7 linked regions of the Canis lupus familiaris genome follow. The protein of the gene in region 5 interacts with the protein of the main gene of each other region in a biochemical or structural test. Links are inferred from orthologs where the notes say so. Each region holds a gene or a part of one and is shown on either strand. Other genes may lie near its edges.

What was found.
Region 1: of the proteins of SRC (region 5) and PTPN6, one has a biochemical effect on the other in vitro, tested with the Homo sapiens proteins (2 studies listed by BioGRID). The link is inferred for Canis lupus familiaris from reciprocal best matches to the Homo sapiens genes SRC and PTPN6.
Region 2: of the proteins of SRC (region 5) and ENO1, one has a biochemical effect on the other in vitro, tested with the Homo sapiens proteins (4 studies listed by BioGRID). The link is inferred for Canis lupus familiaris from reciprocal best matches to the Homo sapiens genes SRC and ENO1.
Region 3: of the proteins of SRC (region 5) and PTPN11, one has a biochemical effect on the other in vitro, tested with the Homo sapiens proteins (2 studies listed by BioGRID and IntAct). The link is inferred for Canis lupus familiaris from reciprocal best matches to the Homo sapiens genes SRC and PTPN11.
Region 4: the proteins of SRC (region 5) and LDB3 interact in a test that uses a peptide from one of them, tested with the Homo sapiens proteins (2 studies listed by IntAct, with this or other methods). The link is inferred for Canis lupus familiaris from reciprocal best matches to the Homo sapiens genes SRC and LDB3.
Region 6: the proteins of SRC (region 5) and ERBB3 form a complex in vitro, tested with the Homo sapiens proteins (2 studies listed by BioGRID and IntAct, with this or other methods). The link is inferred for Canis lupus familiaris from reciprocal best matches to the Homo sapiens genes SRC and ERBB3.
Region 7: the proteins of SRC (region 5) and MUC1 form a complex in vitro, tested with the Homo sapiens proteins (2 studies listed by BioGRID, with this or other methods). The link is inferred for Canis lupus familiaris from reciprocal best matches to the Homo sapiens genes SRC and MUC1.

Annotation. Positions count from the first base shown.
Region 1 is NC_049248.1:7,997,202-8,001,264, reverse strand, and holds the start of PTPN6 (tyrosine-protein phosphatase non-receptor type 6), read right to left. Parts: upstream 2,801-4,063; 5' UTR 2,620-2,800; coding exon 2,612-2,619; intron 2,522-2,611; coding exon 2,399-2,521; intron 2,200-2,398; coding exon 2,005-2,199; intron 1-2,004. UniProt on the Homo sapiens protein: Tyrosine phosphatase enzyme that plays important roles in controlling immune signaling pathways and fundamental physiological processes such as hematopoiesis.
Region 2 is NC_049226.1:62,793,765-62,795,923, forward strand, and holds the end of ENO1 (alpha-enolase), read right to left. Parts: intron 2,048-2,159; coding exon 1,989-2,047; intron 930-1,988; coding exon 860-929; 3' UTR 501-859; downstream 1-500. UniProt on the Homo sapiens protein: Glycolytic enzyme the catalyzes the conversion of 2-phosphoglycerate to phosphoenolpyruvate. In addition to glycolysis, involved in various processes such as growth control, hypoxia tolerance and allergic responses.
Region 3 is NC_049247.1:10,373,568-10,377,067, reverse strand, and holds part of PTPN11 (tyrosine-protein phosphatase non-receptor type 11), read right to left. Parts: intron 885-3,500; coding exon 718-884; intron 1-717. UniProt on the Homo sapiens protein: Acts downstream of various receptor and cytoplasmic protein tyrosine kinases to participate in the signal transduction from the cell surface to the nucleus. Positively regulates MAPK signal transduction pathway. Dephosphorylates GAB1, ARHGAP35 and EGFR.
Region 4 is NC_049225.1:35,253,842-35,257,341, reverse strand, and holds part of LDB3 (LIM domain-binding protein 3), read right to left. Parts: intron 867-3,500; coding exon 715-866; intron 193-714; coding exon 117-192; intron 1-116. UniProt on the Homo sapiens protein: May function as an adapter in striated muscle to couple protein kinase C-mediated signaling via its LIM domains to the cytoskeleton.
Region 5 is NC_049245.1:26,537,273-26,541,499, reverse strand, and holds the start of SRC (proto-oncogene tyrosine-protein kinase Src), read right to left. Parts: upstream 2,801-4,227; 5' UTR 2,727-2,800; intron 1-2,726. UniProt on the Homo sapiens protein: Non-receptor protein tyrosine kinase which is activated following engagement of many different classes of cellular receptors including immune response receptors, integrins and other adhesion receptors, receptor protein tyrosine kinases, G protein-coupled receptors as well as cytokine receptors.
Region 6 is NC_049231.1:757,162-761,151, reverse strand, and holds the start of ERBB3 (receptor tyrosine-protein kinase erbB-3), read right to left. Parts: upstream 2,801-3,990; 5' UTR 2,708-2,800; coding exon 2,626-2,707; intron 1-2,625. UniProt on the Homo sapiens protein: Tyrosine-protein kinase that plays an essential role as cell surface receptor for neuregulins.
Region 7 is NC_049228.1:42,329,682-42,331,697, reverse strand, and holds the end of MUC1 (mucin-1 precursor), read right to left. Parts: intron 1,941-2,016; coding exon 1,791-1,940; intron 868-1,790; coding exon 793-867; 3' UTR 501-792; downstream 1-500. UniProt on the Homo sapiens protein: The alpha subunit has cell adhesive properties. Can act both as an adhesion and an anti-adhesion protein. May provide a protective layer on epithelial cells against bacterial and enzyme attack.

The sequences.
Region 1 (4,063 bases), on a different chromosome or scaffold from region 5:
GGTTTGGGGGGCTCTGGGGGGCTCAGGATAACATCACTGGAGGGGAGACTGGGGCTCAGAGGGGCTCAGAAAGGGCAGAAAGCAGAACTAGGACCTTTCCCCGAAGCACACCCCCTTCCCAGGAGGAAACCGTAGCCCCACAATGCCCAGCCCCACAGGAAACCACGTGATGGAAAAAACACAAAACTCCTTCTGGGGAGAGAGTGAGAAGTGAGGGTGTGAGGTTTCCTCAGCCCAGGGACCAGGGGAGGGGGCATTTTCCAACCGCAGGGATGGGGGGGAGGATGGAGGAGCACATGGGTCCTGCCCAGACACACTCCTGCCCTGTCCAGGAGCAGTACCTGGGAGGCCACCCCACCCCACCATTCAGGGATAGACCAGGGCACACCCCACACACACACGCCCACTCTGGCAATGGGGTGGGGGCTGACCCTCGTCCCCCTGGCCCAGGATGAGGAAGTTTCCATGCAAATATCAGGCTGACCACAGGCAGAGTGCTAGCCATTGGCGGGACAAATGCAAATTCCCTCAGAGGAGGAGGGGCAGCCTCCAGAGCCAGGAACACAAGAGAGGGATGGAGAAAGAGCCTCCCATACACAATCCCAAGGTCAGGGGTTAGCCAGGTGTCCTGATGTGAGGGACCAAAAAGGCTTCTGAGAGTCAGCTTCCCTGGCCTCAATACCCTCTATTCTTCCCTCCCTGCCAGCCCCCAGCTCTGTCCTCCTCCTGCTACTCCAGGCCTCAGGCTCTCCCAAGGAGAGCTTCTCCTTCCTTCTTCTGGCTCCATCCACAACCTCCTGCTCCTCTAGGGGCTCCACCAGCCCACCATCTAGCAGGGCAGAGGCTGGTTTAGGCCAAAGAGGAAGAGAGGACCCCAAGAGTTCAAGAGGGTCTGAGTGGCAAACCCCCATGAATGCTGTCAGCAGGATGGAGGAAGAGGGCAAAAGGGTGTGGATACCAAGAAAGGACCAAGGAGGGCCACCATGAGCAGTCATCCAAGCTTGGGCTTTACTCCTCCAAGAGGTGGCTTCAAAGGAAACGGATTGATGGCTTCATGTTGGCTGGAGAATGGTGTCCAGCAGTGGGCCACGAGGCCCTCACCTAGGCCTCATCCTCACGCATCTCAAACTTGCCATCAGTGACTTGAACAAAAATACTGGGCAAGTTAAGAGGCATGCATCTTAGAAAGAGTGAAAACTGATGGAATCAAGGTCCATCATTAGGTCAACAGTCAATGCACAAATACAGGACAAGAGCAAGCTGCCTTGGCCCCAGAACGTAAAAAAAAAAAAAAAAAAAAAAAGCTACTAGAATTATTCGTCTGCCATTCACCTTAATGGAGCTGTCACTGGGATACAGCTGCTGAAATAAGCCCCCAGTGTAACGCTGAGTGTTCAGGCTCCCAACCCCCACCCATGCTTTAGGGAGACCATGTGAGGGGCAGCCTGCCCGGTCCTGGAGACCACATCTTTGGAGCCAAAGGGGACAGGAGGGCAATGCCTTGAGTACTACCCTGTGCCCAGATACTAGGCCCCTTGCACACACGACCATATCATAGTTATCCACCGATCTGTGTTCCAGGCAAGGGACTGGTCAAGCTCTCCCAAGTCCCCAAAAGGAGACCCGTCATCACTGTGTTACTGAGATAAAGCATTAAATGTCCTCATAAATATAAGTCCCTATGTTCCTCCTCAACATCAATCTCTCCATGTATTAACCTGTCCTGGAGGAAAGAATAGTATGGCAAGGCAGATTTGTTTCCACAGAAGGAAGGAGAGCTTTCTAACAACAGAGCTGGCCTACTACCAAATGTAGCCACTAGGCCTCTCCATCACTAGGAGGGCCTGGGTTGCCAGCTGGTGGAGACCCTGGAAAAGGGGAAGGTGATGTCCCCTGAGGCATGAGCCTGGGATCACACAGAAGAAAGAGGCCCACAGAGCCCTGGGCAGGACAGGGTGGAAGTCAGCCCGCCTCCACGTGGGAGTGGGCCAGGAAGCCCCTCACCTCTCACTGGTGGGGTCGGAGCAGTTCAGCGGGTACTTGAGGTGGATGATGGTGCCATCTCGATCCTGCAGGACGCCTTGCTGCTGCGTGTAGTACTCCACTAGCTCTGTCAGCGTCGCAAACTTTTCCCCTCCATACAGGTCATAGAAATCTCCTGAGTTCTGGATCCGAATGTGGGTCACCTGATCCCCCACCCTGCAGGGCACCGGGTGGTGAGACCAGTGGGTGCAAGAGGAGAGATGGGGACAGAGGGGGGATGGGCTGAGGTCCAGAGTCCCAGGCACACACAGGGGGCGGGGGGGACACATTGGGTGCCGGGGCCTGGGGAGTCGGCACTGCCACAAGGGAACCAGAAGGGAGCCACTTGCCCTGGCCGGAGTTGGGGGCCACCTACCTGACGGAGAGGGAGAAGTCACCCTGGTTCTTGCGACTGGGCCGGGCCAAGAAGCTTCCATGGACACCGCGGCCCTTGAGCAGGGTCTCTGCATCCAACCCGCTGAGGTCTCGGTGAAACCACCTGGAGGCCCGCAGAGCAATGAGGAGAGGTCCTTCCTTCCATCCGCAGGGCCCCCTTGCCTCCTGCATCCCGCAGGCCCCAGGACCTTACCTCACCATCCTGGGGGCTCCCTGAGAGGAAAGGGGTGCAGGGAACGAGGTGCACTGGCGAGTCCGGGCGGGCAGAGAGCTCTGGGCCTAAGGCCTCCACACGGCTCTGCTCGAGCGCCCAGGCTGCCTGTCAGCCCTGGCCGTGGGTTCTGGGGCTGCCACTCCACTGGCCCCAGGGCCAGCCGGCAGCAGGGCGGGGACAGGAAGGGGCGCGGCCGACCCCTTGGGGGAACTCACTGTACTTCTCGTTTTAGGGCAGAGCGAAGAGAAGCCAAGCGGGGTGGCAGTGGGGGTGGGGATGGGGCCCACTTCCCACACGGCTGCCATCAAAGGCTCCAGGAGCATGGCACTCTGCAAACGTGACGACACACAACATAGGGACACAGCTATGCCTGGCACCTGATGTGTGGAGGCCACGCTTCATAAGCATGAACCCCTGCAGTCACAGGCCATCTCATCTTCCTCCACAGGCTGCTTCCACACACCCTTCCCCTCCCCTGTCCAAGCTCGTGATAATGGTGACGGTGACAACTCTCGTTCCACAGAGTCTCACTGTAGGCCAGGCACCATGCTAGCATGTCATTTATGTACCTCATCTGGTTTATTCTTCCTAATAGCCCCACAAAGCACATGCTGTTTTTTCCCCCATTTTACAGAGGAGGAATCTGAGGCTCACAGAATGTAGGGAACTTGCCTGAGGTCAGCCAGTCGGTAAGGGGTGGTGCTGGGATGTGACCTCACACTGTGGTTCCCAAGCCAGGGATTTTAGCAGCTGTATGCCAGCCCCTGGGGACTCAAAGGACAGAGGTGGGGACCTCTTGTCCACTGGGGGCTGCAGGGAAGGGGATACTTTATTAGAAATAATAGCCAAGGCCAAGCAGATGCTTGCAAAGGGAAAGGCACCCTCACCTCCTCTGGCACACACATCTGAAGAGGCACCACCGGGACAGAGGGATGGACAGAATGACTCCTGCACAGCTGTCAGACTTACACCTTTTCTACTTCTTATCCCAAGTCTTTGCCCCACTGTGCCCTAACCAGGTAGTGGAGCCAAGGAACAGAATGCAAGGGGCAGCAGATCTAGGAATGCAGGTGGGGGTAGCCCCCTTGGGTATGTCCACCCTATGCCTGAGCCATAGATTCTTGTCAAGGGGTCTGGTCTGAATCGGCTCAGAGCTCAGGACTGTGACTAGGGGCCTGTCTCCTGTGGGCTGGGGACCGAGGTCCCTGCCATGATTGATATTCTCAGGGCTGGTTGACATTGAGAGGCCCTACACCCCAGGAGCTCATGATGATCCCCATGTGTAATTCCACATACAAACACTGGGATCCCTGGGTGGCGCAGCGGTTTGGCCCCTGCCTTTGGCCCAGGGCGCAATCCTGGAGACCCGGGATCAAGTCCCACATCGGGCTCCCGGTGCATGGAGCCTGCTTCTCCCTCTGCCTGTGTCTC
Region 2 (2,159 bases), on a different chromosome or scaffold from region 5:
TCTTGGTTTCAGGCTCAGGTCATGATCTCAGGGTCAGGAGATTAAGCCACCCCCACCCCCATGCTCAGCAGGGAGTCTGTTGGAGTCTCTCCTCTCCCTGTACTTCCTGCTTGTGCTCTAAAATAAATAAATCTTGGGGATTCCTGGGTGGCTCAGCGGTTTGGCACCTGCCTTCAGCCCCAGGCGTGGTCCTGGAGACCTGGGATTGAGTCCCACATCGGGCTCCCTGCATGGAGCCTGCTTCTCCCTCTGCCTGTGTCTCTGCCTCTCTCTGTCTCTGAATAGATAAATAAAATCTTTAAACAAAAATAAAAAATATATAAATAAATAAATCTTAAGAAAAAAAAAGTGTGAAAAGTGTGTGTCCTACTGAGCCAGCCAGGAGCCACTTGACCCTTTTGGGGACAACTCTTATAGGCCCAGAGCCCAGTGCAAGACTCACTGAACACTTGCCATGAGGAAAGACTCAGACTGCTTTAAACAAACACACACACACAGCATTTCTATGGGTCACTGAGGCCTTTTTATTCTGCACATAAAACCACTGGGGATCTTGCCTGTGGACACCTTGAGATTATTACATAGACAGACCTGGCTCCAGATGCTTGGTGGAAGTGAGGTGAGAAAGCAATGATTTGGACCAATTACATGTTTACAGAGCTAGGGTTCCCAGCAGGGTTCCAGATGTCAACTCTGGCTTCTGTAGCAATTCTAAGGAAGCTTTGAGAACATCACGGGGAAGGGAGAGGGCAGCTAACTAGCACAGGGCCCTGCCACTTTGGGCTGGGGGCCTTGAGCTGCCCGGGGGAGCAGAGGTCTAACGAGCTGACTCAGGACCACAGGGTGCGCCACCTGGACCTTACTTGGCAAGGGGGTTTCTGAAGCTTCTGCCGGCGAACTTGGCCTTGCTACCCAGTTCCTCTTCAATTCTTGGGAGGCAGAGGAGAGAGGGGGAGGGGGAGGAGGAAAAGAGAAGTCAAACATCTGTCCCCAAGGCCCACATCCCCTACCCAGATAGCAGGGACCAGCCTCCTCTGGATGTGGCTGCTCAGAGGCGGCAGGAAGAGAGGGGCATTTGGCTCTTGTGTCCACCCAGCTACCCCAGCAAGTGGGCCACTCACTGCTGCTTCTGCTTCCCAACCTCCCCCGCCCCCAGCATTTCCCAAAGACAAAGTAGAAAAAAGGGCAGAAGTGCTAGTTCTTGGAAGAGAAAGAAAAATGATTTTAATGAAAGGACAACCCAGTTTCTTTAGAGGTGGCATAAGGACACACACTCGGCGTGGATGTTACAGAATGACCGAATCCCCGGCACTCTCATGGCATGGGGAGAGCAGGGTGGTTAAAAAGTAAACAAATGTTTCTCGGAGACCTATACTCAGGTATTTACAGGTGAAATCTTAGAACTGGAATGTGCTTCCAGTTCTCCAGTAGAAAAGGAGGAAACGTAGTGTATGAAGAGAAGCCCCGTGGGAATGCCGACAGCTGCCCTGTGTGGGTCACAGGGCAGATGTCCCACCAGGCACCATTTAAGCAAAGGGTAACCAGGCTGACTCAAGACTGGAAAAAGGAACAAAAAAATAGACAAGTCTCCATGTTCAGGGGCCCCCAAGGACCCATTATGGTAATAAAAAGGGACCAGAACATCCAAAGGCACTGGGTTCCAGTGGGAACCTGCCTGTCCCCCTTCTATGAGGCCCGGTGTCCTCACTCACAAAACACAGTGCTGGACTAGTCAATCACTAAGGCTTCCTGCTGGCTCTAAAAATTCTAGGATCACATTATTCTAAAGGGGACCTGTTCCCTCTTCCACCACAAGATGGCAGCATGGTCCTCAGCCTCCAGCTCTGGGCCCATGCCTCAGGGGATGTAGGTTCTGTGCTGGGGCAGCCCCTAAACCAAGGGCCCCCACCTGCATACCCCCCATAGAACCAGGGCTCCCCCTGGAGGATGGTGCCCACACACTCAGTGCAGGTTGGCTTCCTTTTTACCTGAGGATCTGGTTGTACTTGGCCAAGCGCTCAGATCTGCATGGTGCACCCGTCTTGATCTAGAAGGGAAAAGAAAGGTCACTTGTGTTTGTCATGGATGCTCAATCTTCATGGGCATTTAGGGCAGAAAGGAGGGCATCAAGGGGCATCCAGGATCCCATCCTCCCCCTC
Region 3 (3,500 bases), on a different chromosome or scaffold from region 5:
CAGTTTCCTCATCTGTGAAATGCAGATAATGGCACATACTTTACAGGGTTGTTGTGTGGATCAAATGTTAGTAATGTATGGAAAACACTGAGCACAGAGGCCGGAGTGGAGCACATGCTCAATAAACAGTAGCTTTTAAAAAACTGAAAAAGTTTCATACACAGCTACTTGCCCAATGTATGGATGAGATTTGGTAAACTAAACTTCCCCCGGTATAATCATGAAGCCCAGACTTGGGTGCCAGGAGGCTGTAAACCGTGGTGAGATGCCACGGGCAGGGCTTCCAGAGGTCTGGGGAGGGAGTAGTCCAAATCTTTTGAAGTGAACAAGTGTCTTATCAGGGGGAAAAATGCATCTTATTCCTGCAGCAGAAGAGAATAGGATCACAATCAAAGTGATTAATTCTAAACTACCATATTAAAAAAAAATCACATATACACACAAGCAAACATCACTAGACTAGGTAAAGGCTGCCTGAGGATAAGGAGTAAGTCCACCACCCTCTGCCCGGCCACCACCAATACCTGGCAGTACTGTAGGACCTATGAGAAAAATACTCTATGGTCAAAGTGTCCCTTCATGCAGTTTATGCATGTCTGAAACCGAGATGAAATTCTTCTCACAGTGAAAGGGCTGGGGGTGGGGAGGTAAAGACAAGCCCTGGGCATTAAGAGATGGGACAGGCTGCGGCCTGGAGAGGTGGCAGGGGCCGGTCACCTGCAGTGAACCACCACAGGCCCTGCATCCGTAATGCTCTCCTGCTTATGATGGACCTCCTCCAAGAAGTCCAGCACGCCCCCAGGGTCACTGGGCACTCCGTGGTCCGGCCAGGTCCGAAAGTGGTATTGCCACACGGTTCTCTCTGTATTCCCCTGGAGTAGAGCCAAGAAAAACCAGAAAAGAATTAAATAAATCAAGGGGTTGAGGAATCGCCCATTTCTGATCTTCCCTGGACCCAATGTGAGCCAATGGAGCAGACCAGCACCGAATCTCCCCACGTTCCATTTAAAGGTCAGACAAGCTTCCAAATCATGTCTCCTTTCGGATCTGGCTGAGCAATCCTGAAGGCAACTGTTTGCCTCTGTCATAAGAACCAAAATGTCGGGATCCCTGGGTGGTGCAGTGGTTTAGTGCCTGCCTTTGGCCCAGGGCGTGATCCTGGAGACCCGGGATCGAATCCCACGTCGGGCTCCCGGTGCATGGAGCCTGCTTCTCCCTCTGCCTATGTCTCTACCTCTCTCTCTCTGTGTGACTATCATAAAAAAATAAAAGCCATCTGTATAAATGGTATATAAACTTTAAAAAAAAAAAAAAAAAAAAAAAAAAAAAAGAACCAAAATGTCCAGTACAGCGATCAGTTCCTTGGGAGGCTACAACCTGAATCAGCTTTCTGAATCTTCGGTGGCAGGCAATGTCCATCTTCCTTGTCTGCGTGTAGCTCAATTCAGGAGGCAACTGAAGCCTCTGGGACTTGGGGCTTTCTTCCCAGCAGATAAGAAAACAGCTACCCTGTCAAGAGTATTCCTCTTTGTCTTTTTATACCCAGCCCTCATCCCCTCTCCCCAAACACCCACTTTTATTACAACATCATAGCAGTTAAACCTTCTGTTTAGCGCAAAGTAGGTAAGTAGACAGGCTTTGTGGTCAGAAGGCTGGGTTTAAGCCCAAATTCCAGCATTCATAATCACCGTCATCTCCAGGCATCTCTAAGCCTCAATTTCTTCATTTGCAAATAGGAATAATCATCTCTCTCACAATACAGTGAGAGGGATTAAACAAGACCAATTAAACACACAGCCGCTACTTGGCAGCAATAAAAGAATCGGCCACCGGTGCTCTTCTGAGGAGAGGGATCAGTAACCAAGGTCAAGACTACAGAAAACCATCTGGGTCTACCCACATGAGGTCACTGTAGCAGTGCTGCTGATTGCTCCATCTGCATCTTATGTATCTGAAGGAAATCCAAGCTAGTGACGTTATTAAAGGAGATTTTGAAAAGAAAGAAAAATGAAGCCAGTGTCTACCACCGGTGACCTTCAGGACATCCAAGGAATCTAAACCACAATTAAGATCTTTTCTTGAATTATGTGCATTTAATTTATCGATGTCACAATAAAAAATTTTCTTGACATTACCAGTTAGCTAAATCTCGGGGACTACCCCGTAAGGACACTCAAGGAAGGAGACCCAGCTGCCCTGAACATCCTGCTCCCGTCCTTGGTATATCTCTGTCCCAAGAGATCTCTGACCCAGCTCCTCCCTGCTAAGAAACTTAAATGAGATCATGTCACAGCACTTTAGAAAAAAATGTGTTCTATAAAAAGCAGGTAAAAAATGTGTTTCTATAAAAAGCACGTGACCAGCAATTCTGGAGAAATGATCTGTCCTGTGTCGGCACCTGAATCCACGGGTATAAGACACAAACCCAAATGTCAATATTTCCTGTACCTGCTGCTCAAAAATCTCTGTTAACAAGAAGATGGATACTTTATCACTAAAACTGAAGAAATATCAATCTGCTACTCAGAAACACCTGATAATAAGAAGATGGGTGGTTTAGCCTAAATCTGAACAAACCTATCTGGAATCTCTGGCCAGTGTACTCTAAATCTTTTCCATTTCAGCTTGACAGCTATGCTTTTCCAGCTTCTCAATCTCTGCAGCAGAGTAACCCTCCGCCTCATCCCACCATCAGCAGAATCACACCCCTGCTAATGTCAAAAGTCCCAGCATCCCACTCTGGACCACAGCCACCCAGGTTTCCAGCTACCTTTGGTCCCCTGACCATCACCTTATGGAGCTCAGCAGACCACTGAGCCCTCTTCTATTCTCCACCTGCCTTCTTCTAACCTGCTGCCCCACATCAGGCTTAGATTCTACATACTATTCTTTTTTGTTATTTTAAAGTAGATTCTACACCCAGTAGAATGGTCCAGGTAAAAGGTGGTGTGGTGGTGGCAGGGTGGTACTTTGGTACTTTCCATCTTTACTTTGGAGCCCAACATGTGGCTTGAACTCAAAACCATGAGATTAAGAGTTGGACGCTCAACCAACTGAGCCACCCAGGTGCCTCCAGAGTACTATTGTGACAATCACCCTCCACTGTACAGCTCTGCTCCCTCCACTCTCTCTCCATCCACAGCACCCCTGGGAAAAGCCCCAGGCCTGGACAAAACCAACCACCCACCTTCACCATTTTATACCCGAGGAACAGTGTCCTTGGAGAAAAATCACACCAGGGAATTGGTGTCACTAAACGTTCATATTCACCTATTCAAATGGGCACTCAGTGCTGCCTGAAAATTCACTGGATTCCTCATCATTTCTACACATTATTATTTGGTATTTTTCCCACTTTCCCCAGATAATTCATCTCTGATTTCCTTCTAATTCCAGTTGATGGCCTTGCTATAGACAATAGCAAGAAAATACATGTCAGCTCCTCTACCTGCATCTGTGGTCACCTCTTCCTCTTCCCGTTCTGCTGACAGAAGAACTAG
Region 4 (3,500 bases), on a different chromosome or scaffold from region 5:
TTCACGGGGTCCGCCCCACAGCATCAGCAGGGGCAGGGCAGGGCTGCGCCAAGCCAGGACCAGGCAGGCCGATTCGGCGCAGTACCCCAGGAAGCGCAGCCAACCTCAGCACCTACCTTCTGGTGGGGGATCACCGGCAGAGGGGACTGGACCGGGGGCGCTGTCGTGGAGATGGGGATGGGGCGCTTCGACCTGGAGAAACCAGAAAGAGGGCCAAGTGAGGACACTTGCCAGGAGGACCGGGAGCTCCTGCGGGGGCAGGGCTGGTGACAGGAGAGCATCAGAGAGCTGGGGAGCCAGGCCAGGGACCCCGAGGCCCGCTGTCCACCGCACGGACTGGAGTGACCCCAGGAAGGCCCCGGGCCTGGTCAGGATGGAGGAGGCATGGCCCTTGGGCACTCTGCACTCATGGCCTCTGTTAGGTCCCTGGGAGGCTGTCTGGGGCAGCAAGGAGGCAGGGAAGACCCCAGCTGCCAGGCCCGCCTGCCCACACGCTGGCAGCACTGTGACCGCCCCCCACCCCCGACCTCATCCGTACAGTGAGACTCAGGCATGGCAGGCGTGGAAGGCCCGGTCCTTCTTCCCGTCCAGAGGCCGCCTCACCTCTCCGTGTGAGCCTGCAGCACGGGCCGGGCCCATGTGGCTGCTGCGGACACCCTGTCTTGGGCCTGATGCCCCCACCCCTTGACCCGTGCCCTGCAGAGCTCCACTCACTTCTGCAGCGTGAGACTCAGGTTGTAGCTGGCAGACTTGATCTTGTTCTGGGCTTCCAGGTGGGTCATGGTGTCTGTGTTGACTCCATCGATGGCTACCACGAGGTCACCCTGGCTGAGCTGGGACTGGGCGGCCTTGCTTCCTGGTGTGATCTGAGAGGATGGCAGATGGGGGGGGGGGTGAGCGCATGAAGGGGGGGGCTGAGGATGGGCCAGTCGTCGGGGAAGAGTCCCCTGGGGTCATCCAGTAGAGGCCTGCCAGGTCCTCTTTCGTTCACTGTGGCCAGTGCCCGCTGCTTGCCACGTGCGACATCCCCACCCGGCACACCGCCACCCCTGTGCCTAGCGTCCTGCGTCGAGTGCGACCGCGAGACTAGCTCTGCCCAGGGGACCGGGGCGGGAGCAATGCCACCGCCTGCAGGCCTGCCCCCAGCACCCGTCCTTACCACGCTGCGCTCCCTCTACTTGTCGGCAGGCTGGGCACAGAGGGCCCAGAGGGGGACACTGAGCCACTAATGGAGGGACCTGAGCCCTACGGTCGCTGCCTGGAGGACGGATGATTAAGAAGCGCTGCATCAGATGTCGCACGAGCGAGAAATGAGCTTCTGCTAGGCTAAGCCGTTGAGGCCTGGGGGCTTTGTGACACCAGGTCCCCTAACCTGCAGTCCGTACAGTAGCACTATGATGTCTGCACCCCCAAACACCCACGGGGCACTTTCTGGGCTCCGGGAGAGAGGGTATGCGTACAAGCGGACACTCAGCACCACGGCAGACTCGACCAGGCTAGCAGGCAGGACAGATGCACCGTCACAAAGTGTCCCGGTGCAGGTGCCTAGTGCCACCATGTGGGGGAGCTGGGGAACCCCGCCTGGGGAAACCAGGTCCCCAGGGGCAGGCGGCAGGGCTCAGCGTTCTGGGGCTGGCTCCGTACTTCCAGAAGGTGTGGGGACCATGTCCCAAATCCCTGCCAGCTAATGACATCACCACGTGTTAGAGTCCAAGGGTCCCCCACCGTGTGATCACTCAGAACACTGCAGATGCGGCACCCCGAGAATACCCCGTGCACGTCAGGAAGGCTGCACTCCAGGGACATCATGTGGAACGTCATGGTGGCTCAGACCCTCTCCCGATGACGTCATGCACAAGGCCAGACCCTGCAAGCCTGGCCCCTGGTAGCGGCGGGCTGAATGCGGTGGTAGCCACTCCCCTCCTCGGTGACGTCACTCAAAGCGCAAAATTCTGGAGGGCCTGGGTGATGTCACCTACAATGACTTGACGGCTGACCCCTAGTGACGTCACATGGGATGGATGAAGCTCCGCTTCTAAAGGCGTCTCGTGGAATGCCACAGAGACTGGCCTTACCCCGCGCCCCACATTGTGTCACCGCACGAAGTACCAGGCAAGCCCTACCCCCTACTGTAACACGCAGAATGACCTTACAACGCGACGCCCAGGACATCACGGGGAGGCCCCCCTGGGACACCGCGGGAATGCCGGCCAGGCCTCTGGGAGGCTGTAACTGGAGGACGGCCCTTGGCTCTTCTGCGCCAGCATGCCCACCGGCCAGCTTCCCGGCTTCCCAGTCACCTTCCTGTCTACCCCAGGGACAAGGCTGGCTTCTCGAGCTGGCGGGAGCCGTTTTCTGGCGCTGGCCCGAGGGACCATCCTAGAAGGAGTCCGAGGAGGACTCAGGGGAAGGCCCCTACCCTGGGTGCCAGGCCTGGGTGAGCCTCTGGCCGGCCTCCTGCCCCGCCTCCCAGAGGGACCTTCCCCGAGCAGGGCCACTGCATCACCAGCCTCCAGTCCCCGTGGGCTCTACAAGGCAGGCCACGAGCCGCGAGTGCTAACCCGGGGACAGCAGCAAGAGGGGGGTCCTTGCGGTGGCAGCGCCCGTTCGCCCTGGGCCCGAGCTAACTTCACAAGCACTGGCCCCTTGTGCCCAGACAGCTCCCCCCCGCCCACCCAGCCCCGAATCCGCTGAGTGTGGCGGGGACAGCGGAGGCAGCACCCCTGGGCTCTGGGAAACCAGGCCCAGCCCCCTCTCCTGCTCCTGCAGGCCCCTCCCAGGCTCGTGGCTGCGGGGCCTGCACGACCCACAGGAGCCGGTTATTTCCTGATTTCAGGGCTTGAACAAAGGGTAGAAACAGAAGAAAACAAAACACTTCCTGGCTGAGAGGGGACTCCCGAGGGCAAGCTGCCCGCCCAGAAAATCGCCTTTCCCGACGGTCAGACCCGTGTGATACCCGACGTCGGACTATCCACATCCTCAAGCAGAGAAAACCCGGAGAGAATTCTACGGAGGGCCCGCACACGCCTCGGCGGGCGTCTACACCAACGGGATGGGCGTCTACTGCGGCGTGGTGGGTGTCTACCCTGGCATGGCCGTGGGTGTCTACCCCGGTGTGCGGCATCGTCTGCCCGCCTCTCGCTGTGTCCCCCACCTTAGTCTACACACATTTCCCGGAAATGGCAGATACCATCTTGCTTCCTCGGGTGAGCTGTATAGCGCCTCTGCTGCCCTAGCAGGACACCCTAGGGGGGGTCCCACTGGACTCCCCCCACCGGGGTCACTCTCCAGGCCCCCCCACCGGGGTCACCCCACCAGGCTCCCCACACCAGGGTCACCCTCTCAGGGCCACCCTTCCAGGGTCACCCCCCAGCTGCTTCTCACCATCTCCAGAGTGGTAAGGCGCCCCGAGGTGGGCCACCCCAGACCCCAGACAGAGCGGAGGCTGCCAGGGGTGGAGCATGTTGGGGGAGCACAGATGACCGTGGGAGCAAGGACAG
Region 5 (4,227 bases):
GAAGGTCAAACTCATCCCCAAGGCCCACACAGCTCCATATGGTCCAGCCATATGAGTGATTACCCCCCAAAACACCCCCTACTTCACCTCTCACCCACTCTCCTTAATTCTCTGTGCTCCGAATTCAGAGGCTTTCCCATCGTTTCTCTATAACACACACTTCCCCACCTCAGGGCCTTTGCACATGCATTTCTCTCTGCCTGACAAGCCCTTCCCCAGCTCCATGCTTGGCCAACTCCTACATACTTCCTTCAAAATTCCTCTGCACCCCACGCCTCTCTCTCTGAGCCCTTATCGCATCTGTGATTATATATTAATTTATTTGGTAACTTGTTTGCTATTTGGCTCACCCTCTAGACTCAAATATCTAGGAGGCCAGGGACCTGTTCACAATTCTGCAGCAGGATGACCACCTCCACAATCCCAGCAACCCTGGGAAGTGTCCGAATAGAAGAAAGAGCACCCTCCCTCCTTCTTTGTTGAGCAAACTTCTTGCCCTCCCTCACCTCTTGGAAGCCCCCTGATGCCTCCTACAACTCCCACTACTAACCCCTTCGCCACACTGCTCAGCCTGAGTTTGAAGCTCCTAGCATATAGCAGAGGCTCACACAGGGTCACGGATGTTTGCATCTGGGCAGGTTTGGAAAATGGGATCAACGAGGACCAGGGGGTTGGGGAGTGTTGTCAGCAGGTCACTGAGCCATGTCCTCCCTGGCTCCTGGGGCTCGCGGGAGCCAGACATCCCCCCCCACCCGCCAGGTCACAATCAGGAAGAAGCCACAGCAGGCACTGTGCTGTGAGCTGGGGAGAGTTCATGCTCCAGGAAGAGGATGGGGAGGGGAGGCAGAGCCAGGGAGCCTTCCTGGAAGAGGTGGGCCTGAAGCTAAGTCTTCAAGAGTAAGAACAGATAAACAGCTCACAGAGGAGAGGGCAGTCCTGGCAGGGACACCTACAGGAGGAAAAAAGCCCAAGAGCCACACAGAAGGGCTTAGGCAGGCAGTCAGCTGAGAGAGGTGACACACTGTAAATCACTTCCCTAGGTGGAAAGACCACATCACCGAGGCACACCACATCACCACATCCCCAGGAGGACCTCGTGGCTTCCATGCAATCACTCATCAATCTGTATGGTCTAACACCGTTGCATGCCTCGTCCCATACTGAGAAACCCCTGCTCCCCCCACACTGGAGGGGTCAAGGGCAGCCAAACTGGGGTCTCTGAAGTGTACGTTCTCATTCCAGCTTCAAACTGTGTGGGCTTGGTCAAGTCCTTTCCCCTCTCTGAGCCTCGGTTTCTCCATTTGGCCTATTTTATACTTAATAAGACTGAGGCCCAAGGAGGCAGCGAGTTGCTCGAGGTCACACAGCTGCTGGGTGGCAGGATGGTGCTGGAGTTGTTTCTCAAGGGGCTCTCAGGTGGCTTTTCGGACACCAATCCATCCTCTTCTGGACACAAGCCCCACTGGGACCAGCCCCCTCAGCCCCCTCCCATTTTAGGCAATTCATCCAGTGAAGCACTCATTTATTGAGCACCTACTACACACTGAGCTCCTACACGTAGAAGTGCATATATTCTTCCCCCATTCCACATGTGGGTGCTCAGAGGGGCAGTCCCTTGGCCCAGGTCACCCAGGGAGACAAGAAGTCTTGTCTGTCCAGCCAGGAGGCTGACAAGAGGGGCACTAACAGGACCCGCCTGGTCTATGCCTGAAACCAAGTCTGATCTCAGCAGCACTGTGTCTGGGCCTGGACTCATCCCAGGTAACCCAGGGACCCCTGCCCCAAATGTAGAGGTCCTGAAGCTCAGGAAGCCCCACTTGACAAGCCTCACTTGTTCGGCCCACCGGCCAGTGAGCCTGAAGGCCCCAGAGGCAGAACTGATACCCCATAGGTGAGCCTCTTCTGTTTACCGTCATCCTTCCACCAGCCCAGCAGTCCCAGCCAGACCCACCTGCCACTGATCAGGACCCCCAGATCAGAGAGGGTAGGCAGTTGCCTGACCACACAGAGCTGGGCAAGCGGCAGCCCCTGTGGGCACCTAAGCTCACCCCCAACCGAAGCCCAGGCAGGGAGATGGACCCAGCCTGGTGGAGAAAACCCAAAACTTTTGCCAACTTCTGAGCAGGCAGGCGGCTGGGCCTGCCAGGGGCGAGGCTGGGGGCTGGGGGCAGTGGACCGACAGTGCGGCCCTGTCCCTTCCAGACCCGCGGCACCAGGCCCTACCCCAAGCTCCAGGAGGACAGGGTGGTCCTGGGGCCCCGGCCCGCGCCCCTGGCTCGGCGCCCCCAGGCCCACCCTGCCCGCCCCCTCTCCACCTCCCATCCCGGCCGGGGGCGCCAGGCCCGGCAGCCGCGGCCAGAGGCGGCGCCGACAGGCTCAGATTTCAGATTTGGCCTAGACCTGGCCCGGGGGCTCGGCCGGGCTCCCGCTCCGGGGGCTCCGGGGGCTCCGGGGGCTCCGGGGAAGGGGGAGCCGGCGGCGGCCCCCGCGCCGGCCGGACCCCGAGCCCCCGCCCGCCCCCTCCCCCCCAAGGCATCACAACAAAAGGCCGCGCCGGGCAGGTCCCCCTGCGCCCGCCCAGCGCCCCGGGATCGCGCCTCGGACCCGGCGAGGCCGGAGCGGGGCCCCGAGCCCCCCGCCGCCCGCCCTCCGACGCCACGGGGTCCGGGCGGGGCTCCCCCGGGCCGGCGGGGACCGGGGCCCGCGGAGGGGCGGGGGGCGCTCACCTGGGCCGCTGGGCGGCGGCGCACGGGCGGACGGACGCGCGGGAGGGCGGACCGCGGGACGGCGGGGTCGGGCACTCGGCGGCCTGGCCGCTCCGGCTCCCAGGCCGGAATGGATTCCGGGCCGGGAGAGACAGATCGGGAGAGAAAGGGAGGAGGAGGCGGCGGCGGCCGGGGAGGGGAGAGGAGGGAGGGAGCGCGCGAGCGGGGAGGAGGGGCCCGGCCGGCCGCCGGGGGGAGGAGGAAGGAGGAAGCGTGCGGGGCCCGACTCCCCGCGGTGACCCGGGAGAGACCCACGCGCGGGCCCCACCCCGTGGGCGCAGGAGCCGCAGGAGCCGGGGTGCGGAGGGGCAGGCGGGGGGCGGGGACACAGAAACCCTGCCCCCACCCCGACCCGTGAGAGCGCCCCACCCTGTGGGACCCCTAAATACCCCCCAGCCAAAATGCCCTCCCTAACCGGGCCCAAGCACCCGTCCTGCTGACCCCAAATCCACCTCTTCCTCAATTACCGGTAATAAGAATAATAATGTCAGCGCTAACGGAGCCTTTGCTCTTTCCCAGGCACCATGCCAATGGCTCAGGTCGACTTTTAAAAGGCTCTATTCCTAACAACACCTAGGCTGGGCAGGCTGATGATTATCCCCATTTTACAGATGAAAAACTGAGGCACAGAGAAGGAAGTCACCTGAGGAGAACCAGGCCTTGGACCCGCCTTGACTTGAGTTTCCCAAAGCAAGGACCGGGGCAGGAGGAACAGTGTAGGGAAGAGCAACATTTATTTTAATAGATACACGTTCATTTTATATTTTATTTTATTTTTTTAGATTGTATTTCTTTTCAGAGAGAGAGCAGGGGGAGGGGGAGGGGCACAGGGAGAGAGAGAAGCAGACTCACTGCTCAGCAGGGAGCCAGTTGCAGGCAGGGCTCCATCCCAGGGCCTGAGATCATGACCAGAGCTGAAGTCAGGTACTTAGCTGATTGAGCCACCCAGGTGCCCTGATATATGTTCATTTTAATGTGCATTTAAAAAACAAAACAGTAACTAAGGCAGCTTATCAGAAGTCATTGAGTTTTAGATATTCCTGCTTATGAGGGGGCTGAAGCCAGTATTTAGTGGCAATCACACTTCCCAGAAAATAAAGAGGCAAATTATATCTGGATGCAGGGGGCAAGGAGTAGAGCAAAGAAAAGGGACAATAAGGAAATGCTGCTTTAGGCCACAAAGGCTTCTGCAAACACTATGCCAACAATCTCACCCCATGCTCCAAAACTGCACCCCACTTTTGGCTCTTCACTAGTCCTCCTGGAATCATGGCATAGGGAAGGGTGAGTGTGAATCCAGCTTTAAATACCATCCCTGTTTTGTCTCTCCTTCTTTGAAATTTCTCCCATTTCACAGATGGGAAACTAAGGCCCATCCAGGTCAAACAGCACCAGGCCTCGGCTTCTCTTCCCAAGAGGAGCTGGGAGGTGAACCCTAGAAGAGAGGAGGCAAAGGCCTCAG
Region 6 (3,990 bases), on a different chromosome or scaffold from region 5:
ATGGCAGTCTTGGGGGTTCACTTGCCCTTCTAAGTATGGAGGACACAGGGGCTAAGGGAAAGGCGGGACCCCGAAGCCCCACCCCTCTCCCCTCCGCTCAGAGGCCGGGGGAGGGTGGGGGGTAGACACCACCTGTTCTCACCACCCTTCCCTGAGGCGCTGGCAGTTTAGTAGGAGGCGGGAGTGGGAACGGAGGAGGAGAGATTAGTGAGGCTCCAACCCCTCCTCCTAGATACACCCCTAGTCTGACCACTGGACTTTGGAGGGCTCCCATCCCCTTTCACTCCCCACAATGGGAAGGAAGGGGGTGGGCTAGACCCAGCAGAGGAGTAAACTGGCTGGGAGCTCCCAGAGGAGCCTGGGAACTCTAGGGTCCTGGGGCTGAAAGTAAAGAAACTAGGAAGGTTAATCATTTAGGGAACAGCCCCACCCTAAACCCTTTCCTGGTAGGACACCCCCTCTTGCAAGTCAAGGCGCCAACCGCTCTCCCCAGATAAGGGAGGAGCCAAGATTTCTGCATGGAGAAGTGGGATATGTATGTGATGTGTGTGTGTGTGCACATGCACGAGGGACACACACGCACACACCCACAGACAAGCATGCACACCGCTCCCCGCTGGCCCAGAAATCTATACTGGTTCTGTCCTCGGGGTTCCTTATGAGGAAGTATTTCAGGTGGCCCCATCTATCCCACCTGCCTTAGGTGTCTGTGCAGACTCTGTGTCTGTGCCTGGAAGGCTAAAGGGTTAGAGGTCCCAGTTCTCTGCCATCCTGAGGGTAAAGTCCATATTACACAAACAGGGAGCAAAGGGCCTGCTCAGGAAGAGAGCGTGAAAACCACCTCTAAGGAGGAACAGGCAGCATGGGGAGGAGGGAAGGGGGAAGAGAGTAAGGAAAAGCCCCACTGTACCCGGGGACCAGGGGCCTAGGGAGGGGCCTGGCACTCCTTTGGTAGAGAGCACTGGGGTGGGTCGACCAGGAATCTTCGTTGCCTCCTCAACCAGAGGCCTCCTCTCCAATAGCCCCCACCCCCATCACAGCCAGGACAAAGGGACTATAGAAGGACTGAGACAGGGCCGGATGCCCAGAGGCTGCAGGATCCAGATAAAGGGTAAAGAAACCCAACCATGCCTGCCTCCTGTCGCCCCAAGGGAAGGTGGCCAGGATCTGGGACTCCTGGGTTCCTGGTTGAAGATTCCAAGGGTCTGGATGGGACAGTGACCCAGTCATTCTATTTGGTCCCTCCCACTCCAGTCCCCAGACCCCCCCCTCCACTCCACCCCCCCACCAGCTGGGAGTTTCAAAGTCAAGATCCCAAGTCTAAATTTAGGCCCAGCAACTGTGGGGGAAGCACAGGTGTTTCTCCCACTCCCACTCTGGGGAAGAGGCCCTGGCCCTCCCAAATCCCAAGCTGAGGTCTGGGGGAGGGGAAGAGATCAACAGGATTCCTCCAATTCGAGCAACACCAGAACCCTCAGGTGTCCACGGTCCCAGAGACACCCCAAGGGGGTGGGCTCCGATGGTATGGGAGTGGGAGGAGGAAGAGAGGCGCAGTTTGACTGTTGTCTAGACTCCAGGAGACAGAGTCAGACAATAAGCAGAATGTAGGTGGGGGGGGAGCTGGGTCCGGGAAGGACTCCCAGACTGGAAGCTCAGGAGGTGGGAGAGGCGCCCTGTTGGTCTCGGGTTGGGGGAGAAAAGACAGACAAGTCCAGGCTGCAGGCCCCTAACCCTACAGCTCCTGGCCCAGACCCTGTGCGTAGTAGATGTTCAATAAATATTAGTTGAATTGATCTGGGTCTTGACAAAAACAAGAGGTTGGGGGATCCCTGGGTGGCGCAGCGGTTTGGCGCCTGCCTTTGGCCCAGGGCGAGATCCTGGAGACCCGGGATCGAATCCCACATCGGGCTCCCGGTGCATGGAGCCTGCTTCTCCCTCTGCCTGTGTCTCTGCCTCTCTCTCTCTCTCTCTCTCTCTCTCATAAATAAATTAATTAATTAAAAAAAAAAAAAAAACAAGAGGTTGGTCAAGCCGGGGACCAGCCAGCTTGGTTATCCTGAGGAAATGAGGGAGGTCGGCCTCTGCGTGGCCTCTCACCCCGATGTCACCTGTACTTGGCCCTTAGGTGCGCCTCCGCCCGTCCCGGGGCAGGTCCACGGAAGAGGAGGTGCGGCTCTTGTTTTTCCAAGAGTAGAAAACAACAACCCCCTCCGACCCCTCCCTAGCTCCGCCCTGTCGGCAAAACAACGAAACTGGAGGCGCCGAAACCGAGGGAGGGGGTGGGCTCACAGGCCGGGACCCCCACTCTCCGGGACCTCACCCCCCTCACTGCCGCCGCACGTTTGCGGAGCCGAGGCCCCACGGCCGTCCCCACAGGGCTCCCCAGGGGAGCGGGGTGTCCCGGGGGGCCCCCACCCCGACGCAGATCAGAAGTGGGGGGTCGGGAGCGCCGAGCCCGCCCGCAGCGCCCAGGGGAGCGGGGTGTCCCGGGGGGCCCCACCCCGACGCAGATCAGAAGTGGGGGGTCGGGAGCCCCGAGCCCGCCGCAGCGCCCCGCCGGGGTGGTCCCAGCGCCCCCCGCCCCCGCCCGGCCCCCCCCCCCCCCCCGGCGCCCGCGCCGCTTACCTGCCTGGGAGTTGCCCACGTCGGAGGCGCGGACCAAGCTGAGCAGGAAGCCCAGCACCTGCAGCGGCGCCGTCGCCCTCATGACGCCCGCGGAGGCGGCGGCGGCCCCGCGGGATCCGGCCCGGGGCCCCGACTAGGACATCCGAGCGGGGCCACCTGAGCCGCCAGCGACCGGCAGCGGCGGCGGGGAGGCTGCGGAGCGCAATCGGAGCCGGGCCGGGGCGGGGGCCCGCCGGGCAGGGGAGGGGGGCGGCGCTGCAGCCGGGGCTCGTCCCCGGGCCACGCGAGCCGAGCCGGGGTCGCGCCCGGACCTTCCCGGGGGCCGGGCCGAGGGGCGGCCGGGACTGCAGACGCCCTAGCGCCTCCGACGGGGAAAGGTGCTGGGGGCGGGGAGGGCGCCTCGAAGCCCGGCCCCTGAAAGCTGGCCGCGCCCATTAACCAGATCACTCAACTTCCCCAGCCGGTTGGGTCACTCGGGGCGGGGGGGCTCCCTGAATGTGAATGTTTTTCTCCGTGAGTGTTTGTGAGGAAGGCGCGGGCCGCACGCTCAGGCGCCTCGGTTTCCCCGGGACCCTTCCGGCCCCGTAATCCGTCCACGCTGCCCTGGAAGCCGAGCCCCGAGGCCGCGTGAAATCGCGCTGTCTCCGGCCGCTTCCTCCCGCAGACCCGGCGCCGGCCCGGCCTCTCCGGGGGATTTGGGGGGCGGGGGCGGGGCGGCCTCCAGCCTGGGAACAGACCCGAAGCCCGCCTTTTCCCTTCCAGCCCGGGAGGGGCTCCCGCACCTGTCGCGCCCCCTCTGCTGCCCCCCGCGGCCGCCTGGGAGAACAGCTGCCTCCCATCGCGGCCGGGAGTCCCCGCCGTCGGGGCGGCCGCGGCCCCCGCCGCCTTAATGCGCACCCGCACCCGCATCCGCACCCGCGCGGGCGCCTTGCACGCCCGAGCTCGCGCTGCAAAGGGGGGCGCAAGGCGGGCGCCCGAGGCCGCGGCCACGAGGGGCTCGGACCCCCGCCACCTCCGGCGGCCGCTCCCGGGTCCTGGCCCGGGGCTGGGTGGGCACCGGCGCGCGGCCCCCGAGCCCGGCGGGTCCCTCAGCAGCTCCCACGCGCGCCCCCTGGCGCCGGGGGGGCGCATTTCACAGCCCGAGGCCGGCGTTCCCGCCCCCGCCCGGGGGCTCCCGGGCGCCCAGAGGCTCAAGCCCAACCCCCAGCGCCTCGGCCAGGAAAGCTTCCTCCGGTCACTAAGTCTCCCGCCTAAGGCTCTAAGCTTGCTCGGGATCGCTGTCGCCCGGGCCCCCGCTCTCTGCGGGGCTCACCCCGGCCCCGGCGCTGGCCTGTCCTCGTCCTTGCAGGACGGTCCCGACCCCGC
Region 7 (2,016 bases), on a different chromosome or scaffold from region 5:
AGGTGCCTAGAGCAGACCCTGCTGGCCAGGGAGGGGGCCAGGCCTGGCGTCAGCGTCCGGATCTAATGCTGTGCTTATCGTGGCCTGTTGACTCTATGTTGACTCTGCCTGTGTTATCACTGCCCACGGACTTACTTCACACCCTGGCAGCTAAGAATAGAGCCGCCTATGGGCACTGGGCCAAGGGGAGGCAAGGGCGTGGCTGCCACCAGCCCCCAGCCTGAGGAGAGGGGAGAGCCAGGGGTGCAGGTAGAGCTGGGTCACACTGACTTCGGGTCATGCTGGCCTCCAAGCCAACTCAGTTTCGTTTCCTCCTTCCTTGTGTGCCACCAGGGATGCCAGAGGTGACCTGTGCCCCAATGTCATCTCTCCACGTCTCCTGCTTTCCAGACAAAGCCTATTCCTTGCCTTCTTTCCCTGCCCCCAACTCCTGCAAAGATCCCTTCCAACGCCCCCCCAGCCTGCCCCCCACCTATGGGTCACAGATGACAGATCCAAAATTGGCAGTCAGCACAGATGAGGTCCCCATTTTATTCAGCCATGGTCTGGTTTGTACTTCCAACCCGGGGCTTTCTGGGTCAGTCCTCCTGGGAGCCCCTGTCCCCAAGGGGCTCGGATGGGCTTCATCAGCAGGGCTGACATGGGGTAGGGGACATGGTGGGGTCTGTGAACAGCCCACCTGAACCCCCTAGTTCACCAGCCCAGAACACAGTTGAGAGGAGAGGACTCTGGTGGGGGTCTGGGGGAGGCAAGTGGCATTGTCATCTGGACCGCTGGGCAGGCAATGTGCTCCTACAAGTTGGCAGAAGTGGCTGCTGGGTTCGGGTTCATGTAAGAGAGGCTGCTGCCCCCATTGCCTGCAGAAACCTGGGTGGAGGGAGGAGACATGGGCTGAGAAGCTGTGGGTTTCCTGGGAGGAAGTGGCTCCTGGATCACACCACAGGGTGGGGTAATAGGTCCGAGAGTCTAACTCTCAAAGGGTTAATTAGGAGAGCACCTGCTGGGCACTAGCAGCAGCCAGGTGACTGTAAACAGGGCGCAGGGCCACTCCTCCTCCCTCTGGTCCCCTTCACTGCCCCCCTCGGCTCTCAGCAGCCCCCTCGCCCTCCCCTACTGCCCCTTTCTCCTTCCATCGCGCTCCTCCAGCCCAAGCAGGAGTATCTGCCTCTGTAAGACTGGGAGAAGGAAGTCTCTGAGCAAAGAAAACAGGCTCAAGGGAAGGAAATTCCCCTCCCCCGACCTGGAGTGTCGCTCAGGTGGCCCAAGTAATTATTGACTAGGTCCTGGAGAGAAAGGCCAGGTGAGAAACAAGGAGGAGGGGTCCTCATTTCCTCCAGACTCCTGAGAACCCCTTGGCACCCAGGCTCACCTGGATGGGTTATACTTCTCCCCCACATCAGAGACCCCCTCTATTCCTGCCAGACTTTCTAAATCCACTCTCTGCTCCTAGGAGCTAAATGAATAGGGGCACAGGTGCTCATCCTGCATTGATGGCGTCACATCCCTTTCATCCTGGGTCCCAGGGAGCAGCTTGTGCTGCCAGTTCAGCGGAGCGGGGAATGCTGCTTTGGAAATGCTGGTCGTGGGGACACTCTCTTTTGAGATCCCCTTCCTCTCAAGGTCTCCTCCCCTCCCCCCGCTGTTCCACCCCACCCCTCCTGCCTCCGTGGGCCGCCACCACCACCACCACTTACTTGGTGCCCCTCTCCTATTCTACCTTCTCTGAGCATTTTCAGAAGCCCCGCACAGCCCAAACCTCTGCCTCCCTCCACCTGCGGGGCCCTCCTCACCTCCTCATAGGGGCTGCGTCTATTACCGCCAGGGGGCACATAGCGCCCATGGGTGTGGTAGGTGGGGTACTCGCTCATAGGATGGTAGGCGTCTCGGGTTGGAAAGATGTCCAGCTGCCCACAGTTCTTTCGGCGGCACTGGCACACAGTCTGGGAGAAACAGGGTGTTATGGGAGGCCATGGAGTTTCTTCTAGCAGGGGGGCTTCTGGCCAGGGCTGGAGACCT